4 linked regions of the Saccharomyces cerevisiae S288C genome follow. Changing the gene in region 2 together with the main gene of any one other region gives a genetic interaction. Each region holds a gene or a part of one and is shown on either strand. Other genes may lie near its edges.

Region 1 (4,443 bases), on a different chromosome or scaffold from region 2:
TCTTGTTGCAGCCTAGAGGACCAACGACATCGAAGATGTAGTTGCACTTAGTCGCTTCATGTACACTCCGAATCTTGAATTTGTCGCTGCACCGAACAAATACAGTAGCCGATCTGCGCGGACCATTCCAGCACTGGTCTCCATTTTCGTATTCTAGTACCAGACCATTATTCAGTTCGTTTAAGTTCCCGAATACGTAATGTTGCATGTTACCGTCATCGTCCTGTATAGCTGCTAAGTTTGAAATCAAATCACTCTTCTCATCATATGTGGCCTTTAAATGTTCTGCGTATTTTTCCATGTTTAAGTCAACATTAAAACCTGATGTCTTAAAACGACCGATCAAAACTTTTTTACCGTCAACCTTATCCTCAGCTTGATATATGACACCTTCGGTCATTGGACGTTGAAAGCATATAGTGTACACATAGTTGTCCAGTATGTCGTCAAGACAATAGGATTGTGATCCCATTAGTTCTAAAAGCTCAGTCAGATTTCCTGCAGTAGAATTAGTTCCTTCATCTTCAGTTTCATCTAATAATTTCTTATAGTCCATTTTTTGCTTTAATTCATTCTCCAGGAGACTGACTTGACTTTCACAAGAGCGGAATCTCTTCTCTAATGAGACCAAATCTTTTCTAGATGAAAAAATATTCAGCTTAGATAGAATCTCTTTGAGTTTATTGCGCAAATCTCCAGAAGTACCGATATGATCGCTGTTCGTATCTTGTTCTGACTCAACAGCGTCTGGTGGCAATACCTTTGGTGCATTCTCGTTCACAAATGATGTTACTTCGCTCAACGATCTCAAAAGGCTCTCTGACGGGTGAGCTGGTTCTAATTCAGCCAGTTCGCCGTATTCACCTAGGTAGTTTTTATACGAATCGACAGCACTTTTGACCCCTGCATCTTGAAAGTTAACATTGTAATTCTGAGAAATATCATCCATAATCAAACGGAATTCTCTGATATACTCCAAGATATCGTTGGTATAGTTAATTTTACCCTCCACTAGCGCTTGAACAAAATTGGATTTTCCTATGACGTACCTCAACGTGTTCTCAGATTCTCTTTTCAAAAAAATTTGAGGTACTTCTTCTGTAAAGTACAAGTAAAGATTATCTGCCTGCTCATCATCAATTTTGCTATCTGCATTAATTTTAGCCTTTTCAGCCCGTCTTCTAACTTTTCTGAATTTTTTAATATTATCATTGACAACTTTATCATTTAGCGAGGGAGTATAGGCCTCTGATAAATCACTTAAAATCTTGAATATGTCCTGGTAACCTTTACTTACTCTTGAAACCATAGTGAACGATGTAAGGATGTCCGATCCCAAACGAGTACTGTTTAATTGTTCAAATTGATACAAAATGGGATCATGGCTTAATTGGTTAAAGTACTCGCCTCTCAACTGCTCTAATTTGGCTCGATTTTCTGAGAGCCTGTTGGAGAGTACTTTTATCTCGGCAGAAGCTTTTTCCTTATCTTCTTCTAAGCAATTACCACGGGTGATAGCCTCTTCCTTTGTACCGTATTTTCTTTCCAGTTCTTCTAGGGCCTCTTTACCTTCCCGGTAACTTGATAACTCTTTAGAGGCCATAATGTCAAATTCGTTTTTTAACTGAGAACAATTAGATCCAGCATCAAAGAGCTCATATCCAGAAAGTAGCTCGTCAGAACAGTCACAGCAGTCACAAATACCATCTGCGACTTCCGATTTTCGTATATATCTTGGAATAAACCCCTTGTTATCACAATAAAAATACTTATTCACTTTACCACCTCCCTCTGCAACGCTTTTGAATATATCTTCCACGCAGGCGGCGCTGCCGGGCTCATCTGAACCATCAGGACAATCACAAACCCCATCATTAATCTGGCTTATATCCAATACGATATCTTCGTGGTTCAAACAGTGCCATTTAGTCAAATCTGGTTCATTCGAGTCATACAAGTGCTGCTTTTCCCAGGGAACACCCACTATATGCCGTTGACTTTGTTGCAATGACGCTACAAGCGGCGATTGCTCAATTAATAGCAGAAATAATGAGAACATGCTCACCATAGCGAATCTTCTTAATGAAATAGCAGAAGTGCCTTTATGCTTCTTAAATGCAGTGCGGAAGCCTCTGCTTCTACCATAACATCTTCCAACACAGTCTTCATACACTATTATTATTCATTTTATGGCCGGGTAAGTATTTTAAAAGGCATTGGCAATACCCGTTTTGTTTTGACCCAAACAACTGTTTATCATTATTCCTGGTGCTGTCTTCTTAGAAACTATAAACGCTTGTGCACCTACCCAGTATTTAACCAGTTGGGAGGAGATAACAATATTTACTTACTTTTTCACAAAATAGGAAAAGGAAAGTTATACTTTGCTATAGTTTAAACAAAGGGAAAGTTTTCAAATAACCAAGGAGTCTCTGTTACTACTTGCTAAATATCCTCATACAAAATATCAAAACAAATTGGCCAAACTGCACAAGGAAAGTTCACTTTTGTTCCAGAATTAGTTATAGTTCCTTCAACCACATAGATGACATTATTTTCTTGTAGTGTACAGATGCCGCTGGAGGAAAGGTCCCTGACAAACTTACCATTAAACCTATTGTTCCGAATATTGTCTCACCTGGATATGAATGATTTACAAAACATAGGGAAAACTTGCACCTTGCTAAGGATGCTGGCGAATGAGAACATTGTTTACAGAAATGCTGTTATCGGCTCAAACGGGAATATGTGGTGGACAAAAAATGTTCTTGTTGATGTCTTTGATGTTTTGAATTTTAATAGAAAGGCAATGAAAACCTTAAATAGTCACAACATATCCCTGGTCGCATCATTAAGAAATGTTCAGCGGAAATATAAACTAGGCGTTATTGATCCGGCTAGAAAGACAATAAGTTATAGAACAAATGAAGTTGAGAGCAAAGAAAAGGGCTCTGTGAAAGATTTAAATATGGATTTGAACGAACCTACAGAAATAACAAGGGAGCAAATCGCTCATACTGCAATACTACAAGGAATGAATCAATTCATCGAACTCAATGATAAAGCATTTAGGACCCATTCAGCGGATTCTGATGATACATACATAGAGGAGAATAATGGAGAAATACATTCTCTCCACGGATTGGAAAAAAATACAACATTTGAAGAAGACTTAGTCAAAAAGCCACCTTTTATCCCTTCTCCGACATTTTCTAATTATTCTAGAAGTTCAACAAATTCTGTATTTTCAAGTTCATCGCCCAAACTACTGGACGATGATTGGAATAATATTACAATGGATTTCACTAAGTCACGAGATCCTGATTATAAAGAGATGACGCCTACATCTACTGAATCGTCTGACTCAATCACAAGATTGAGAAAATCTAATAAAGTCAAGGATAAAGCCGAACTTTTTGAGAAGTTAATTTTTAGAGATAGCAGACCATTAAAAACAAAGAAAAAGGACAATCCAAGATTGAAATTATCCAGTTCGTTAAGTGCTAATGACGAAGATTTTAGGAAAATCATAAGTCCCCCTTCTGACATACTACCGAAAGTTGGCAGAAGGAGCGTCTCAAGAGGTTATTTAGAGGAGATTGAAAGGCATTATCCCGATTTTAACGGTGAAACAACTAATCCTCTAGCAATTAAAAGAGTCAACAGTACAAAGATAGCAAATTATGAACAATTAATTATAAAAGAAAATAGCTCGAACTGTAAAGGAATAACAGAGAAAAATGATGAAAATAAATTTCAAAGAAGTCACACTTCCCCAGTAATAGAATTATCCAAACCTCATCAAAGAAGCAAATTAAAGGCGGTTGTTACAGACGGTAATAAGATATGCTATCGCAAAATCGAATTGGATAACCCTAGTGGGTCGAATACGAATGATCATGTAATCAAACGGCTTGACGCTAATACCGATTTTAATATATAACAGAAAACGCCTCAAACCGACTTTGCTTGGAAGAGTTTTCTCTGAATTAGCAACGGAACTTCGAAATGGTTTTAGACAAGCATGCATGGTATGTAGAAACAGTTAAAGAGCGCCGCTACCATTTGCACAGATGTACATATAAATAAATGACTTATTTTTTATATTCTATCAATAATAAGACAATTTGTGGTTGCCTTTAGAAATTTCGTGGCTTTTTTTCATATATTCTAACTTCAATAAAGTTTTTTTGATGCGAAATTTGATCGCTCATATTAAGGACGCCTGAAAAAGACATGCGTCTACATTTTGTGTCATTCCCATAAGAATAGTAAGAACAGGCATTTTTATAAATCGATACAAAAAAAGAGCTACTATACGTACATAAAGTCAGTAAATAATCAAATGTTCCCAATGAAAGATCACTCAGCTCTTGAACAACATACTCTCAGCAGAGATGAGTTAAGACGTCGCAAGGGTTACAAGAAAGGACTGCAGTTGTC
Region 2 (3,972 bases):
TAAATGTAGTGGTCGGATCGGCTAGAAGTTCAGACTGGGTGCCGCTTTCAACAACTTCACCTTCCTTCATTAAATATAAATAGTCATCAGATTCAATTTGGCTCAACTCATGCGTCAATATGATTGTAGTCTTTCCTTTCCTCCAATGCCTAATTGCCTTCATCAACAGGTTGCGATGAACAATATCTAGAGCCGATACAGCTTCGTCTAAGAATAATATTGGAGTATCTCTGATGAATGCACGTGCTATAGCAACTCTTTGTTGTTGCCCGCCACTTAGTGTGACACCCCCAGTCCCAATTAATGTTTCCAGTCCATCGGGAAGGTCTAGAATAAATCTATCCAGAAGAGCCATTTGACAGGCATCTTTGATTAAATGTCTATTTTCATTGGTGCTGCAATCGGCATTTCTTACCGAATCTGTTGAACCTAAAAGAATATTTTTTCTAAGAGTATCATTAAATAGGGTACAACGCTGTTCTACGACGGTGATATTTTCAATTAGCAATTTTTGGTCGATTGTTTGGATATTGTGGCCATTGATAGATATCGATCCATTATAGCCATCGTAGAACCTTAATAATAAGTTGGATAATGTAGATTTACCTGAGCCTGATTTTCCTACTATGAAAGTAAATTGTCCTGCAGAGAAATTTAAACTAACGTTCTTTAAAACTGCTTCCGAAGGTCTGCTTGGATAAGAAAACGAAACATTAGCAAATGTTAGATCACTGGTGGCATAATCTAGTGGAAATTGGTGGGCTACAGTTTTATTTAAAGGATTTCGCTTGGATCCATCTTTTAATAGAGTCATGATTTTTTCCATAGCCACTCCGCCTTTTTGAAGAACAACTATTTGGTGTAATGTATTATTTAAAGTCGAGCCCAGCATAATGCATGAATGGAAGCAAGTGATTACATCGTTAATGTTCAGCTTGCCCTTTTTGATCATTGCGGAACCAAACCAGAATCCCTGTACAAACATAGTCAACGTCAAAAATCTCAAGATCCCAGCGTTTGCAGCAACAAAAAAGCAACTCTTGATGAAGAAAGTGTTACAATTTAGTATGATTTCCTTGAATTTTTTCCTTTCTAGACGTTGTGTACAATATAATCTCACTAATTGAGCGGCATTCATCGACCATGTAAGTAATTGGGCTGCTTTACTCGTTTCAGAATTCTCCTTCTCTGAATATACATGAATCATTCTGGAAAACACCACTGCAAAAAATGTGATTATTGGAGAGCTGCAAAGAATAATTAAAGTTAATGACCAAGAATAGTAGAATGACGTCCCCAGAAGCGCACATATTGCAACTAAATTCTGGAAAGTTATGGCTGATGCCTCTGCGGAGCTTGATCTTAGCTCTTCCACACATCTGTTGATTTGAGTAAAATCTCCTAACAATTTTTCATTATTGTCGTACCATTCCATTGGCTTTTCCTCCAAATATGCCTCCAATATCTGTGACCGTATTCTAAAGCCTTGTCTCTCGCCGATGTGCATCCAACTTGTTAGAGAAAGCCACATTACTGGCACAGAAGCCGCACCAAGTGCCATTACTGCCATTGACCTCTGTACTAGTTGGGAATACAAACCTTGATGTGACCCATTAGCCACGAAAACTGATAGTAGATCGAACACTCTGCCCGTCAGGATAGAAGTAATTGCCGGCACTAGGCCTGTTGCCACGGTACCTATTATCATTATCATTAACAGCCTGTAGTCATTCCGTATGTTCACGTACCTGAAAATGTGATAGTGTTTTGTAGTCTTAAAACTTAAAAAGTTCATGACGTAGCTTGTTCTTTGTTTCCTAGTGGAATTTTCAGCGGCACTTGAAAGCTCTCTGTGTGAACGTAACAACGGGAGATAGTTCAGCCATATCCAGGTTTATAAGCTCTGGTATTTAAATGATGAACGGCAATAATGCAACAGTTTTCATATCTGAAACAATTGTATATGTGCGAAGCAGCGTGTAAATTTCCCTATTAGGTAATTACATGGCAAAAAAAATAAGAAACTATTTTCTTAAAGTACCTTTACCCTTTGTGGAAAACAATAAATTGTATAGTGGCAGAATAGAGAAAAGAAAAAGGAAAGGAACATATTTGTCAGTGCAAGGACCATCATTGTTTGAAAAAAGAGAGGATATTACTAGTAGGTAATAACAGCTATGTCGCGTTATATATATTATATATAAAAATTAAAAAATAGAAAATAAAATTTCAAATGCCCTCTGTGGGAATTGAACCCACGATCCCCGCATTACGAGTGCGATGCCTTACCACTTGGCCAAAAGGGCTGAGTAATTTTTATACCTGCTAAATTTGTGGCTCCGCTATACTTTACAGATTTATCTATTTTGAAGATGATACATTTAGCAAAAATGACCTTAAAAATGAAGCAGGTGCCATTTGCCTATAGCTTGGAAAAGTAGTAATGGTTATTCAAAAAGTTAGCAGCGAGATCTTTTTTCTATCGCGCGTTAAAACGTTTGAACAGATATATATTATTCAGCCACAACTATCTATATATAATATTTCTTCGATTTTTCGTTTTCTCAAGTTTCGTCTTATTGATTGATCAGAAGTTTACTGCGCTTTTGGGTAAAGAAGCATTAAACAAAGGAGAGAGAAATATTGCAAGGAAAAAATGGTGAGCTATGGAAGTCATAGTAGTGAGGTTTCGAAAGTTCTTAAAACGCCGAAGTTTGTGCTTAGGTATGGAAATGTATCCAGCAAACAACGTTTTGCCCTAAAGCGGAAGATAAATTACAAACTACGTGAAAGCAAATATCAAGAATACTTGAATGAATACAACACCTTCGTGCTTTACGACTGGGAAAACAGTGGCGCTGGTAGTCTTGTCGATTCTTCCTACAATCTCCCCTCTTTATGGAAGGAATTCATAACAGAGGGCATATCTAAAGGAGCAATAAACGACAAACTACCGACAGTCTTTATGAAGAGGAAGTTGACAAACTCAGCGTTGGGTCACTGTTTGGGACTTGATTTCCTGACTGATCCGAGCGAGTCAGAACATGAATACAGGTGCATGTTTCAGACAGTTCAGGACATCCCATCTCTCTCGCAACTGATCTTATTCAACAGCATGCCAAACGTTCCAGTAAGATTGAAATTGCATACCATTGGTATAAATATAAATTTCGGCTGCAAACGTTCCCTGATAAGCAACGGTGGTGATCAAGACACTGAAATGAGCGAAGCAGTCTCTTATATCCAGCCTTTATTGGAAGAATCCTCGAGAATGTACCGCAATTTAAACTACTGGAAGCTGTTAAAAATAGCACGAAATAACAAGAAGGATGAACCGTTGGATCAGAGCACGCGTATCAAGTCGCAAGTTAAGCTTTTACTGAGTCAATTGGCGACGAACCGAATTACCTCACCTTCCGTCACGGATCATGGGGGTCACAACTGGCTCATATTCACCAGAAGACGGTTGTAAACGATAAATATGCCATAAAGATCTGCGAACTGTACATATCCATATATAATGCGTATTATTTGGTGACTATAGCACTGGCTTCCGCCATCTCACTAAGAACGAAGAGGTATAATAAAGCATTGTGATGTTAAAGAATGACGATTAACCAGCATTTACAACAACTTCTCTTCAACAGAATAGACAAAACAACAAGCAGTATTCAACAAGCTAGGGCGCCGCAGATGTTATTAGATGACCAGCTGAAGTATTGGGTCCTGTTACCTATTTCGATTGTCATGGTTTTGACGGGTGTACTCAAACAGTACATCATGACACTTATAACGGGAAGCAGTGCAAATGAAGCACAACCAAGGGTAAAGTTAACTGAATGGCAATATCTACAATGGGCACAATTATTGATTGGAAACGGTGGGAACCTGTCTTCCGATGCATTTGCTGCGAAGAAGGAATTTCTAGTTAAGGATCTCACTGAGGAAAGGCACCTAGCCAAGGCCAAGCAG
Region 3 (6,232 bases), on a different chromosome or scaffold from region 2:
AGAACGCACATAATGTTATTATATCAACTCGCCTGTATATTTTTGTACTACTTGTTCCAACACGAAAATAAACCAAAGTAAGAAGGGTTAGCACCTTTTTTTGCAAGAGAAATCGCTCTTCAACTATTTTAAGTCAATCCTATGAAAAAGGGTTTGCGCCAGATTTCCAGGGACAAAAAAGAAAGTTTTATGTAAGACTAGATTGTGTTGATATCTCGAGCAAACTGTTAACCATTTTAAACCAATATAGTAATAAGTGTGAATAATCGTTCATCTCTAAACAATATGTAAATAATTCTAAAGAACAAAATATTTTGTCATTATCATCAACCTGTGAGCACTGAAAAAAAATTAATTCTAAAATGGTGCTCCATTTGCAAATATTCTTTCTATTTCCCTGACTCCCGCTAATCGGTTTTATTAGTGAAGAATACAGCCGTGGATTGAAAAACAAACTGGTTCAAGTCATTAACTGAAGTAATGCGACCACATCTTATACAAGAGGCAATGCTTTCTAACAGTTTTACATTATTCAAAATCTTCACATAGCCGTAACTTAACTTATATAATAACCGCATATTGGGCTCTTCTGAAAGAACTATTATAAGAAAGATACAAAAGCAAGCAATCAATCCAAGGGAGAAAAATGACCTCAGGATACTATACCGTCTCATTTTTTTATGCGATCTTATTGTTATGCGCATGCACACGTGCTGAGATCTACCTGACGGGCGGTGAAAGCCAGGGCTTGCCATCAGGATTCTGGCAAATGGACGATGATTTGGCAATCGCTCCAGTTTCTATGGTTGAATTTTACCAGACGATAGGATTAACTGCAAATGGTACTGTACCTGAGTCCTTCAACAAGCGTGATGCTACTGAATACCCTAACATTATCAGTAATATAACTACCCAAGCAGCCAACTTCACTCAGCATAGTCTCGTCGAGCAACTTCAAAATGACGTCACGGCAATAAGTATCAGTAATGCCATTAATGTAGCCGTCGATGGTTCTGTGGAAACACCAGCAGACCTGCAATACAACCGCAACCAGGAAACAGGTGAATCTACCCTCTGTAGAGCCAAGTTTTACGGAGTGGAGGTAAGAACTTGGTCTAGGTTGTACAATAGGGCCGTCTCTTCCACAACTCTTACGACTAATTTGAACAGCTACATAGCGCAATGGGTAGCATGGGCCGTTCACGGGAGCGGTGACAAGAAGTTTTGCGGCAGCCAGGAGTTCACGAATATCTTTTTTGATGGGCAAGAGGGTTGGAGTTTGTTTGTCAAGACGTGGTCAACAAACAGTAGCTGTGATATTACAGCCTCTGAAGGAAATTTAACATGTGCAGTTCGTGTTTCAGTATCCAGTATGCACAATCACGGCAAGACAGCGTTTTGTGTTACCTATAGCCACGGTGATTCTTGGCGTGCCGAGCTGAGAGTAGTTGCCAATGATGCTTGGTCCCATTATTATCCCTGGAGTATTGACTGTCCAGAAGTTGATAAAAATAATATGGCTATTAATGATTGTTTTGATCAGGCGCAAGGTTAACGATTGAGTTTCCCATAATTTTTACCGCTCTCCTCTTGGTTGAGACGTATGCGAAAAGCTAATTCGACGTTTTTTATTGTAAAATCGTACACTTTTGCAGGCAATTCTACATATTATATAAGATTTAAGTCGGATCTTGAGACTTTTGGTGAACTTTGAGATGATTGTTGGGATTCCGTTGTTGATAAAGGCAATAATATTATGTATACAGAATATACTAGAAGTTCTCCTCGAGGATATTAGAATCCTTACAATGGACTTGATATTTCTACATAAAAATATTACGATTATTCCTCATTCTGTTTTTTATGTTTCACCATCCAACAGATCTAAACTCATTTCTTCAGGTATTTATAACTTTGATTGGTTCATCTTAGGCATACTCAATCTTACCTTTTTCATGCGTGTAGGAACGAAACTCTAAAATCATCTACGGGTTAAAATTGCTTATACGGAGGTACCCCGTGTTGAGATCCAACACATACAGAAATTCTGGGCACATGGCGCAGTTGGTAGCGCGCTTCCCTTGCAAGGAAGAGGTCATCGGTTCGATTCCGGTTGCGTCCAATGAAATCTTTTTGTACCAAGTTTTTCTCTGTTTTTGTTAGACCGCAAGCGAGTTTACCGAATCACAGCCCACCTCACCCCACAGGAAAACAGCAGCAGAACGGCTGCTAAATGACTATTAACAATAAGAGGTTTTCGGCTACTTTCGCTGCTTGCTCGTTAAATCCGTTCACTGGTAGCGAACCTCAACGACAGATGTCTATGTATGCTATACGTAAAATCACCCCCATTATGGCCATTTTATGTGTCGCCACTGCTACACACCCACCGATGTGTATGTACTTCTAATATCTAACCAGACCAGACCCCACGCTTTTTCTGGCATCTCCTGCTGCCATCTTGGTGTAGTGAGCGGAAACTTTAAACATTAAACAGAATGGCGGCGACTTTGAGATTTGGGCCCGCTGACGCTGAACGAAAAGAAAAGACCTTCATGAAAAAAATATTTTGCGGCAAAACGTCATCGGAGAACACAGCGCAGCGAGAATGTGGTGTTAGCCAGACCCAACAGTTTGCGCACCTGGCATGGATGGATGCAGATAGGTAGTGTTCGATGCGCAAGAGTCCAATCTTCTCCTCGCCATTTGCACCGGCGGATGTAACACTATATTTTCATTGACCTTAGCGGTTTTCTTTCTTTGACATGTAACATCATCACTTCAAGCACAAACAAAGAACTGTATACACAGACCACAAACTTGCATATTATTCTAACATCGGTGTTATAATAGCGTAGGTGCTCTTATCACTGCAAAGTTCATAGAAAATCCGTATTGTATCTCCCTTCTCCATCAGCAACACAGATCTACTTATCATATAGAACATGAAGGACAGTGTAGACTGCCCAAGCATTCTACCCACCGACCGCACTTCAGTGCTTTCCGAGACTAGCACTTTGGTCGGATCGAGTTCGCATGTATATTCGAGGCATGCTCCTATGAACAGTTATCATAACAGCATGAACAGCAACATATACCACAGCCCCAAAGCCAGTAGCCCTTTGGTGAGCTATAAGACATCTTCGCCGGTGTTATTGAAGAGGGCGACCGCTCCTGTCCTGCCAAGCTTCAAGCCCAAGGAACAGCGATATAATAAGCCGCAGGGTTGTTCGCTAATTACTGCTGTAGAACTGGGCAAGATTATTGAAACCTTACCAGATGAAAAGGTGCTCTTACTTGATGTTAGGCCGTTTACCGAACATGCCAAATCCATTATCACAAACTCCATTCATGTATGTTTGCCTTCCACGCTGCTGAGGAGGAAAAATTTCACCTTTTCCAAACTCTTGGACAACTTAACTCCTAGCGAGCAAAGCGTGTTGAAATCTAAACTGGCCATCGATAACCTTCGGATTATCATTTATGATAGCACCGCAAATCAAACGGAAAGTTCTGTTTCTTTACCTTGTTATGGAATAGCGTCCAAGCTAATAGAGTTTGATACTAATGTTAAAAAAACCGTGTCTATACTAATGTGTGGTTTTCCTCAATTCAAAATTCTATTTCCAGACCATATAAACACCAACACATTTAACTCAGATTGCATTAGTTCGGCTGAACCTAAAAGCCCCAAGACAAACCTTATGAACAGTCTACACAACACAGCGCCGCATATGACGGCGACAACACCACTATCGTCTCCGCAAATGAACCTTAAGTTGAAAGTTCCTGACGATAGTAGGTCAGATCATTCAAACTTTTCCAGTTCTCCCTCTCCGCGTAACGTCCTATCAGATTCTCCCATGTCTTCTTCTTCCCCCATATCTGCCTTATTTAAGTTCCAGCTGCCTGCACCACAAACAAACATAAACCAAATGTTCAAATTTTCGCAAAATGAAGAAATAATGGGTTTAGAGACGTATTTGAGTGCAGTCAACATCAAAGAAGAACATGAAAGATGGTATAATAACGATTCTGCCAAAAAATCTTTACAAAACTTCCAATTCCCAAAGAACCAAAATTCTCTAGAAAAGGACACTAATAAAGACAAACTAGGGTTTCAGATCAGATACGAAAACCTGAGCAAAAATTACGAAAAGGAGGTCATTGACTCCGTTATACCTGAATGGTTCCAGCATCTGATGTCAATACCCAAGATCGAGTTGGTTTCTCAGTTTCAAAAATTAGATTTTTTGGAAAAAAGGCGCTTGAACCATTCTGTCTCTTTCAGGAAGAAGGAAAACTCGTTTATACTTGAAAAGCCATCATCATATCCTGAACAGTTAACATCAACTTCTTCTTCAACAATCATGCCTCCAAAATTTCCTGACGTGAACAAAGTACAAAAGAGGTCGCATTCTCAGCCAATCTTCACTCAATACAGTAAATATAAATCGATGCTCAGCCTTGAATCAGATTCCGATTCGGAGTCAGATGACGTTATAATATCATCAGGCGTTGAATTAGGAGCCAAGAACAGGTACAAGGATATTTTTCCCTACGAGCATTCGAGAGTGATTCTAAAAAAAGGTTTGCAATCATCAAAAGGTATCAAGCATTCACATTCTACTTCCGATGGTGGCATCCTCGACAATTATATCAACGCAAACTATTTGTCTCTGCCAAGGTTTTCTGTAGAGCAAAATTCGTCATTTCAAACAACTACAACCACAACAAGAAGAGTGCGCTATATAGCGACGCAAGCTCCAATGCCCTCCACTGTACATGACTTTTATACATGCATATTGAATAATGGCGTTCCGTTGGTTCTCTCATTGACAAATGATTTCGAAAATGGCATTGAGAAATGTTATCGATATTGGCAAGAAGGTAATTATAACGGTATTCACGTTAAATTGTTAGAAAAAAAAATATTAAAGATGCCTAGCACTACTAGCATGAGGAAAAATACTATGGGAACACAAAATAGTAGTTTATATTCAGCTGGTGTTCAGGGAAATAGTAGTAACTATAGTACTGATAATGATAATGATAATGACAACAATAATAATAACAATAACAATAGTAATATTGCTGTTACTGCTGCTGCTTGTGATGATGATGATGATGATGATGATGACGCAATTCTCATAAGAAAAATTCTGCTAACATATCATGATCAAGAGAAACCTTATGAATTGTTACAGATTCAGGTGAAAAATTGGCCTGATTTGGGCACTTTACTCAATCCTATCTCAATCTTACAAGCAATCAATGTCAAGAATCACATAATAGATACACTATTTGCCAGAAATTACTATCAAAACGACCAACTTCCTACCATTTTGGTTCATTGTTCCGCAGGTTGTGGAAGGACTGGTACTTTGTGTACCATTGATTCCATTCTATCCAATTTCGAAATGTTTGAAATGTTGCAGAAAGAGTTTGTTAAATTAAAATACCCGGCAAAGTTATTCGATCCAATTTCATGGACAATTAATATTTTTAGAAAGCAACGAATATCCATGGTCCAGAACATTAATCAATTTATTTTCATTTATGACTGCTTGCTATTTTACTTTAGATTACGTCTTGATGACATAACAGAGAGAACGGATGGTGATGGAAGTAACAAGGACAATATATCATTAAGTGCATTAATTGAACAAATCGAAAAATTAGAGATCTTGCAGACATTCGTGGATGATAAGTTGAAAGAATTGCCACAATAGTTAGGCTAATATGAATGTATTTGATCTCTATTTTATTAATACGAAACCCCTTAATAATTGATATTTTCGATACATATTTGGCAGTAGTTAGCTACGTAACAGAGTATTATTTTCATTTCAAGTTATGCATGAACTCTCTAATTTCACATACCATGCTACCACTACCCTTGGAGGTTTTGTTCATATCTTTTATAATAAAGCTAAAACCGAAAAGGTGAAGGGAAAAAAAAACTATTAGAGCCTGTTTCTTGTATATAGTAGTATGTAATATTTGCTTCGTACGCTTAGTTCATCCCAATAGTAATTCATAAACAATCACCAGTATATTTATTCCAATTAATGGTACTACAAGAATAATATACGAAACGTTAGTAAAATTTTCTCACAAAAGGTGAAAAAGAACGGGAAAAAACTGATGAAATGTAACTTTAACCGTTCTCCATCAACATAACATACTCCTCAGTAATGTCTGTACGGCGCCAATCAATTGAACAACCTTG
Region 4 (5,504 bases), 410 kb from region 2:
ACCCAGATGAGAGATCTCTGCAGAATTGCCAAGAATGCGCATGGACGTGAGCACAGGATGATAGTGAAAGAGGCGAGCTGAGCTTCGTTTTGCTCGAGGCTAGAACGACCCGAAACTGCCGCTTAATGATATGCTTTCTTTTACCCAATGCAGAACTAGAATGCGTGAGCGGGACTAGGAAACGTTCATAGCTAGCCCAAAAAAAAAAAAAAAAAAAAAAGAATCCAGTAATGGTAGAATTTTGATCTACAGTATGACGAAGAAGGTCGAGCCAGTTGGTCAAGAATTATAGCTCGCTCTCGAATAGCGTTATTTTGTCATCAAGTAATCACCACTGATAACATGAAAGTGGCCATCCATTCCACTTTCTGTTTTCTTTCTATTGAGTGGTCAGTTAATGTGCTACTTCGCTGAAAACTTCCTTGTTTTAGCATGTGGCATTCTCAGTGTACATAATGATTTATAGCTCAAAGGCTTTTAATGTTTAGGTAGTTACAGACCTTTTGCCGCCGTGAATTTTTGACGTCTTGTAGTGCTGTGATATAATTGGACTATAAATCATTACCCGGCCTTTTAAGGCATGAGTGGCGTTCCAACGTGCTGTCAAAACTATGAGACCAAAAACCAAAACACACCCCTAAGAAATGTATAGGGATTTATATCAGCATAAAGGTGCCATAATTAAAGAGATTTAGCCTGAACCCATTACTATTCTGTTACAGTTAAGTACTCATACAGACAGCTAGAAAAAGAAGAAGAAATACCAAGTACAAAGAAAGGAAACCATGTCCAAGTTAGAAACCGTTTACTTATACGCTGGTGAAGAACAACCACGTGTTAAATTGACCTGTATTAAGGAAGGTCTCACTTTAACTCAGGTTATCAAGTTCGTGCATTCTATTCAAGAATTGTACGGGATTGAGTTGCAAACTTCTGAGACCATAACAGAAAATTTGAAGATAGATTGTGCACCCGCATATTTGAAGCCGAATTGTATTCCCCATTTCTACATTCTCGAATATGAAGAAATAAGTGACACCTTTTTCATTTGGAAATCTGATGGTCGTTGGCAATTAAATAAGTTGTCTGCCTTGTTGTACGTGGATAACGACGCTAACGTGGTTAAGAACACTTCCTGGAAGGAGGTTTTCCAGAATGATCAACGATTTAAAAATTATGATAAACGGGCCTGGTTACAAAATTGTCTAGAAAAAATGAATAGAGATCTCTCAAAACTAAACGTTGAACAATTTTGGTCTCAATATGATAAAATATGTCAAAGCATTGCCAAACAAAAGAAAAAACAGGAACAGTTCAACATGGAGGTTTTCGATAACTTCAAAAATATTGTTTCTATTGCTATCATAAAGACCAAAGTTTTATCGAATAAGCGACTTTTGACAACAACTTTAAAAAATTATCATAACTCGATGAAGAAAAAGTATAACATCCAGGAACAAAATCTTAAGGAAAATAGTTTGGCATCGTGCTCAAACAATGAGCCTTCCGCATCTCTGGAAAGCGAATCAAGACATTTTTCTCCGGTAAATTCGCTGTCTCCTTCATCTTTGAGTACCGATGATGAGGCTGTCTCGACAGACTACATCTATAAAGGTCCTGAGTCTAAACCAAACGTGAATTTCATGCATTCAAGTGCTACAAACGATCTGATCAAGTCAAATTTTGAAAGCTATTTTAAATTGATGGCCGAAGACTATGAAACTTTTGACTTGAGAGCCTGGTCGAGACAAAGACCTCGAAAATTTCAGCTTGTGGAAAAAAAAAAAATCACTAAAAACCCTCCTAATAGCCATCATCCGCATAAAAATGGCAAAATATCATTTTAACTATTTCCGGGAAAACATGTCTTTTTATAGCATCTACATCCATTAAATCAAGAGAATAAAAGTAAAACTCCAAAAGTATGTACGTATATAGAACCAATTATTCAATCATTTATAGAAATGTGACCTGTTTTTTCTCTACTATTGTTACATAGGCATCACGAAAAAAAGTCGCATTATACGATACTGTTATATAATTTTTTTCATATTCTTCAGATCTCAAATGCAAGATGGTCCTAATTTGTTTGTTTGTTTATTTATTAGTTTCGCTGAAGAAGGAAAACAAGTCATTTTTGGTTAGCTACCCAATTATACAAGCATTCAATAAATACGCCAATCTTTTGCCACATTTCTTATAATATCCTTTGCCCTCCTTGGTGTTTGGTTCAAATAAGTAAATGATAAAAATGTGGAGGTTACAGATTGTACTGGTGCCGCCAAGTGCTCAAGATATTATCACATTTCTCGAAGCACGCTTGAATACTCCACAATCAGTGTCTCCTATGGTCCAGTATAATGAAGATATAATTACGCACAACAACAGTATCAATAACTGTAGCGACCCCTCTCCTACGAGCCCGTCTTCGCAAAATTCTATTCAGTCGAATCGTAGTAGTGATTTCATTAACTACCTCCCGAATTGTAAAAAGTTTTTACATTTTACGGACGGTGACAATACCCTTTTACAACTATCTAATGAAATTTTAACTAAATTTGATAGACTTTATCCAAATTTCAAAGAATCCATTGAAATCGTATCTCTACAAGATAGGCATGGTTGTGATTTGGACTCTGAATTTATAATAAAAGACGTATTTGAAAATGATGGTGTGGTTTTGGTAATTTTAAAAGATGAATTAGACTGGAGTAGAAATCAACATATTTCACTTTTACAATTGGCAAGACAGCGGAGACGGCAGGACAACAAGCCATCCACAAAATCCATCGTTACTGAAAAGAGAAAAAAGATCTCTAAGGAAGACTTATCTTCTATATCAAATAAAGATACAATGCATCTAATAGCTAAAAGCTCGCTCAAGAATAACTTCATTAATAAATCAAGAGTATCAACGCCGCTAATGAACGAAATTCTACCGCTTGCAAGCAAGTATGATGCACTGAATAAAGAAAAGTGTCCCATGCCACTTACTTCCACAGTAGTGGCATCAAATGTACACAAAGACGTAAAAGATCACGCTCGTGCTAAAGAGGGAGTTGTAACGCAAGGGAGTGATAACAATAAAGAAAATATACCTTCATCCACTCAACAACAGAAAAATGATGGCGCTAAAAGGGCCGAATCAAAGGATTTAGATCTTTTACGCAATTCGTCAGAAGATGCTGATTATGAACCCGCAGATGAAAACTCCCCTCAAATTTCGTTTGATTCGATTGATACCGACTTCCAATTGAGCACTACTTCTCATACTAATTCTGATATGCATATACAATATTCTAACCCCTCTAGTGGTGCTCATAGTCCCAGGAAGAGTTCCTTAGAAATTAAAGTTCAAAACAAAAAAGGTGATGATCTGCCATTGAACGACAAAGATATAGGTGAGAATTGTAGAAGGATAGAAGCATTTTCAGATGAAGAGGATTTTAATGAAACCGATAATGATCGTGCGGATTCGTTTATCAACAATTCTAAGAAGGCATCGATGGGATTTCGGGATATCAATTCCGACTTGGATAGCGTTTCATTCAACAGTGATATTGAAAATGCAGTACAAAGTACTCAAAGTACCAAAAATGTTGTTTCTCCTCCCTTTTTTCCTGAAAAAGAATTGAATAATCGGTTACATCAAAGTCAAGGTAAGGAAGCCCTATTTCGACTTGTTGAGAAGGAGTTTCCTGATAAATCATTGGGTGCTGCGTCATCTACTTCGCATGCAAAAGACGTAAAAATACAAGAAACTATTCGGAAACTAAATAGGTTCAAGCCAACTGGGGAAACTAAGGTCCAAAAAAGGAATAGTATTACGGAACCATATTACGGAAAATTTGGAATAATGAAGAAAGATAAACCCAAATCCATAACTTCAAAAGGGGTAAGTCTGGAAACAAAGCACTTTGATGATCCCAATACCATTATTTCCGGTGAGAAATTCGCAAAATTTGGTAAAATAAAAGTGAAACGAAAAACTGATGATGTTGGATCGAAAGTTATAGAGTTTAAAAGAAAAAGAAATATGGGGAATAGATCCCTAAAAGATATTTTTGCCAATGCTGGGAAACCGCCAAATGCAGCTTCGACCATAAAAGTAGTCAAATTAATGAGAGATCCTGTTGATAATAGTAAAGACAAAGTGGAGGCAACTTCTAATAGTACGGCTCAGGAACAAGAACAAGTCTCACCCAAGTTGCCAGTTATGAATTCAACTCCTGGAAAAAGAAAAAATGGCCAAGCGATACCGTCCAGTTTAGAAAGAACACCGCAGCTCAAGAAAGTCAAGGTTACCAGGTCGCATTCTTCACCTTCTTCTTCTTCTTCCATGTCACTTGAATCTTCATTGGATAGCTCTTCCTCAGATGATTCGGATGATGATTCTGATTCGAGGAACGTGCAAGTTAAAAAAATTAATTTCAAAACAAGTCATGGACCAGCTGGAAATTCTAATGGAAAACCAATGCTGGATGTGGATGACAATGAAATAAATACAAAGAAGTACCAAACACCTAAATATGTTGAAAGTGATGAAGACGACCAGTAAGTCTGTCAGTAATTATGTTGGGATCTCTCAACCATATCTTAAATATTCTTGGCGAATTGTAGTAATTTTTTAGACTGGTTAATGATATCATAATTAAATCTTCAAAAGCAACCAACAAAAGAGAACTAATAGCGTACGGTATGCATCAATTATATATGATTATAACGGACTTTTATTCATGGACGTTTATATCATTCTGGATTATTCGTCATTATTGTTCATTGTTGAACACAATATAAAAAAATATAAAATATGGTTGCTAAGAGATTCGAACTCTTGCATCTTACGATACCTGAGTATTCCCACAGTTAACTGCGGTCAAGATATTTCTTGAATCAGGCGCCTTAGACCGCTCGGCCAAACAACCACTTATTTGTTGAAAATTTTAGAATTCAAGTATACCCAGTCATGTATTAAGTTAATCTTTATGTCATCTTTCTAAACTTTATATGTGTTGGAATAAAAATCCACTATCGTCTATCAACTAATAGTTATATTATCAATATATTATCATATACGGTGTTAAGATGATGACATAAGTTATGAGAAGCTGTCATCGAAGTTAGAGGAAGCTGAAGTGCAAGGATTGATAATGTAATAGGATAATGAAACATATAAAACGGAATGAGGAATAATCGTAATATTAGTATGTAGAAATATAGATTCCATTTTGGGGATTCCTAGACCGGAGAGGAGAACTTCTAGTATATTCTGTATACCTAATATTATAGCCTTTATCAACAATGGAATCCCAACAATTATCTCAACATTCACCCATTTCTCAATATGACAACATAGATATTAGTTGATTTTTATTGCAACATTTATATGTATGAAGAGATGACTCTAAACACTAAAGCTATAGTCATATCTGATACAATCGATCAGTGCGTGCCTTTAATACTTCTCTCATTATAGAACGATACCTTTGATTCCTAGTTTACAA

What was found.
Region 1: mutations in CBT1 (region 2) and MFB1 together harm fitness more than expected from each alone (negative genetic interaction), as found in Saccharomyces cerevisiae (2 studies listed by BioGRID).
Region 3: mutations in CBT1 (region 2) and PTP3 together harm fitness more than expected from each alone (negative genetic interaction), as found in Saccharomyces cerevisiae (2 studies listed by BioGRID).
Region 4: mutations in CBT1 (region 2) and TOF2 together harm fitness more than expected from each alone (negative genetic interaction), as found in Saccharomyces cerevisiae (2 studies listed by BioGRID).

The regions. Positions count from the first base shown.
Region 1 is NC_001136.10:904,955-909,397, reverse strand, and holds MFB1 (Mfb1p), read left to right. Parts: upstream 1-2,545; coding exon 2,546-3,943; downstream 3,944-4,443. Other genes in the region: GTB1 (Gtb1p), read right to left, coding at 1-2,068; septin SPR28, read left to right, coding at 4,346-4,443.
Region 2 is NC_001143.9:44,501-48,472, forward strand, and holds CBT1 (Cbt1p), read left to right. Parts: upstream 1-2,656; coding exon 2,657-3,472; downstream 3,473-3,972. Other genes in the region: ATP-binding cassette a-factor transporter STE6, read right to left, coding at 1-1,795; ER membrane complex subunit EMC3, read left to right, coding at 3,694-3,972. UniProt on the Saccharomyces cerevisiae protein: Involved in 5'-end processing of mitochondrial COB, 15S rRNA, and RPM1 transcript. May also have a role in 3'-end processing of the COB pre-mRNA.
Region 3 is NC_001137.3:307,913-314,144, reverse strand, and holds PTP3 (tyrosine protein phosphatase PTP3), read left to right. Parts: upstream 1-2,945; coding exon 2,946-5,732; downstream 5,733-6,232. Other genes in the region: YER076C (uncharacterized protein), read left to right, coding at 647-1,555; YOS1 (Yos1p), read right to left, coding at 6,022-6,077, 6,189-6,232. UniProt on the Saccharomyces cerevisiae protein: Major phosphatase responsible for tyrosine dephosphorylation of MAP kinases FUS3 and HOG1 to inactivate their activity; it also has important roles, along with MSG5, in the inactivation of FUS3 following pheromone stimulation.
Region 4 is NC_001143.9:457,978-463,481, reverse strand, and holds TOF2 (Tof2p), read left to right. Parts: upstream 1-2,242; coding exon 2,243-4,558; downstream 4,559-5,504. Other genes in the region: chromatin-associated RNAPIII regulator FPT1, read left to right, coding at 786-1,847.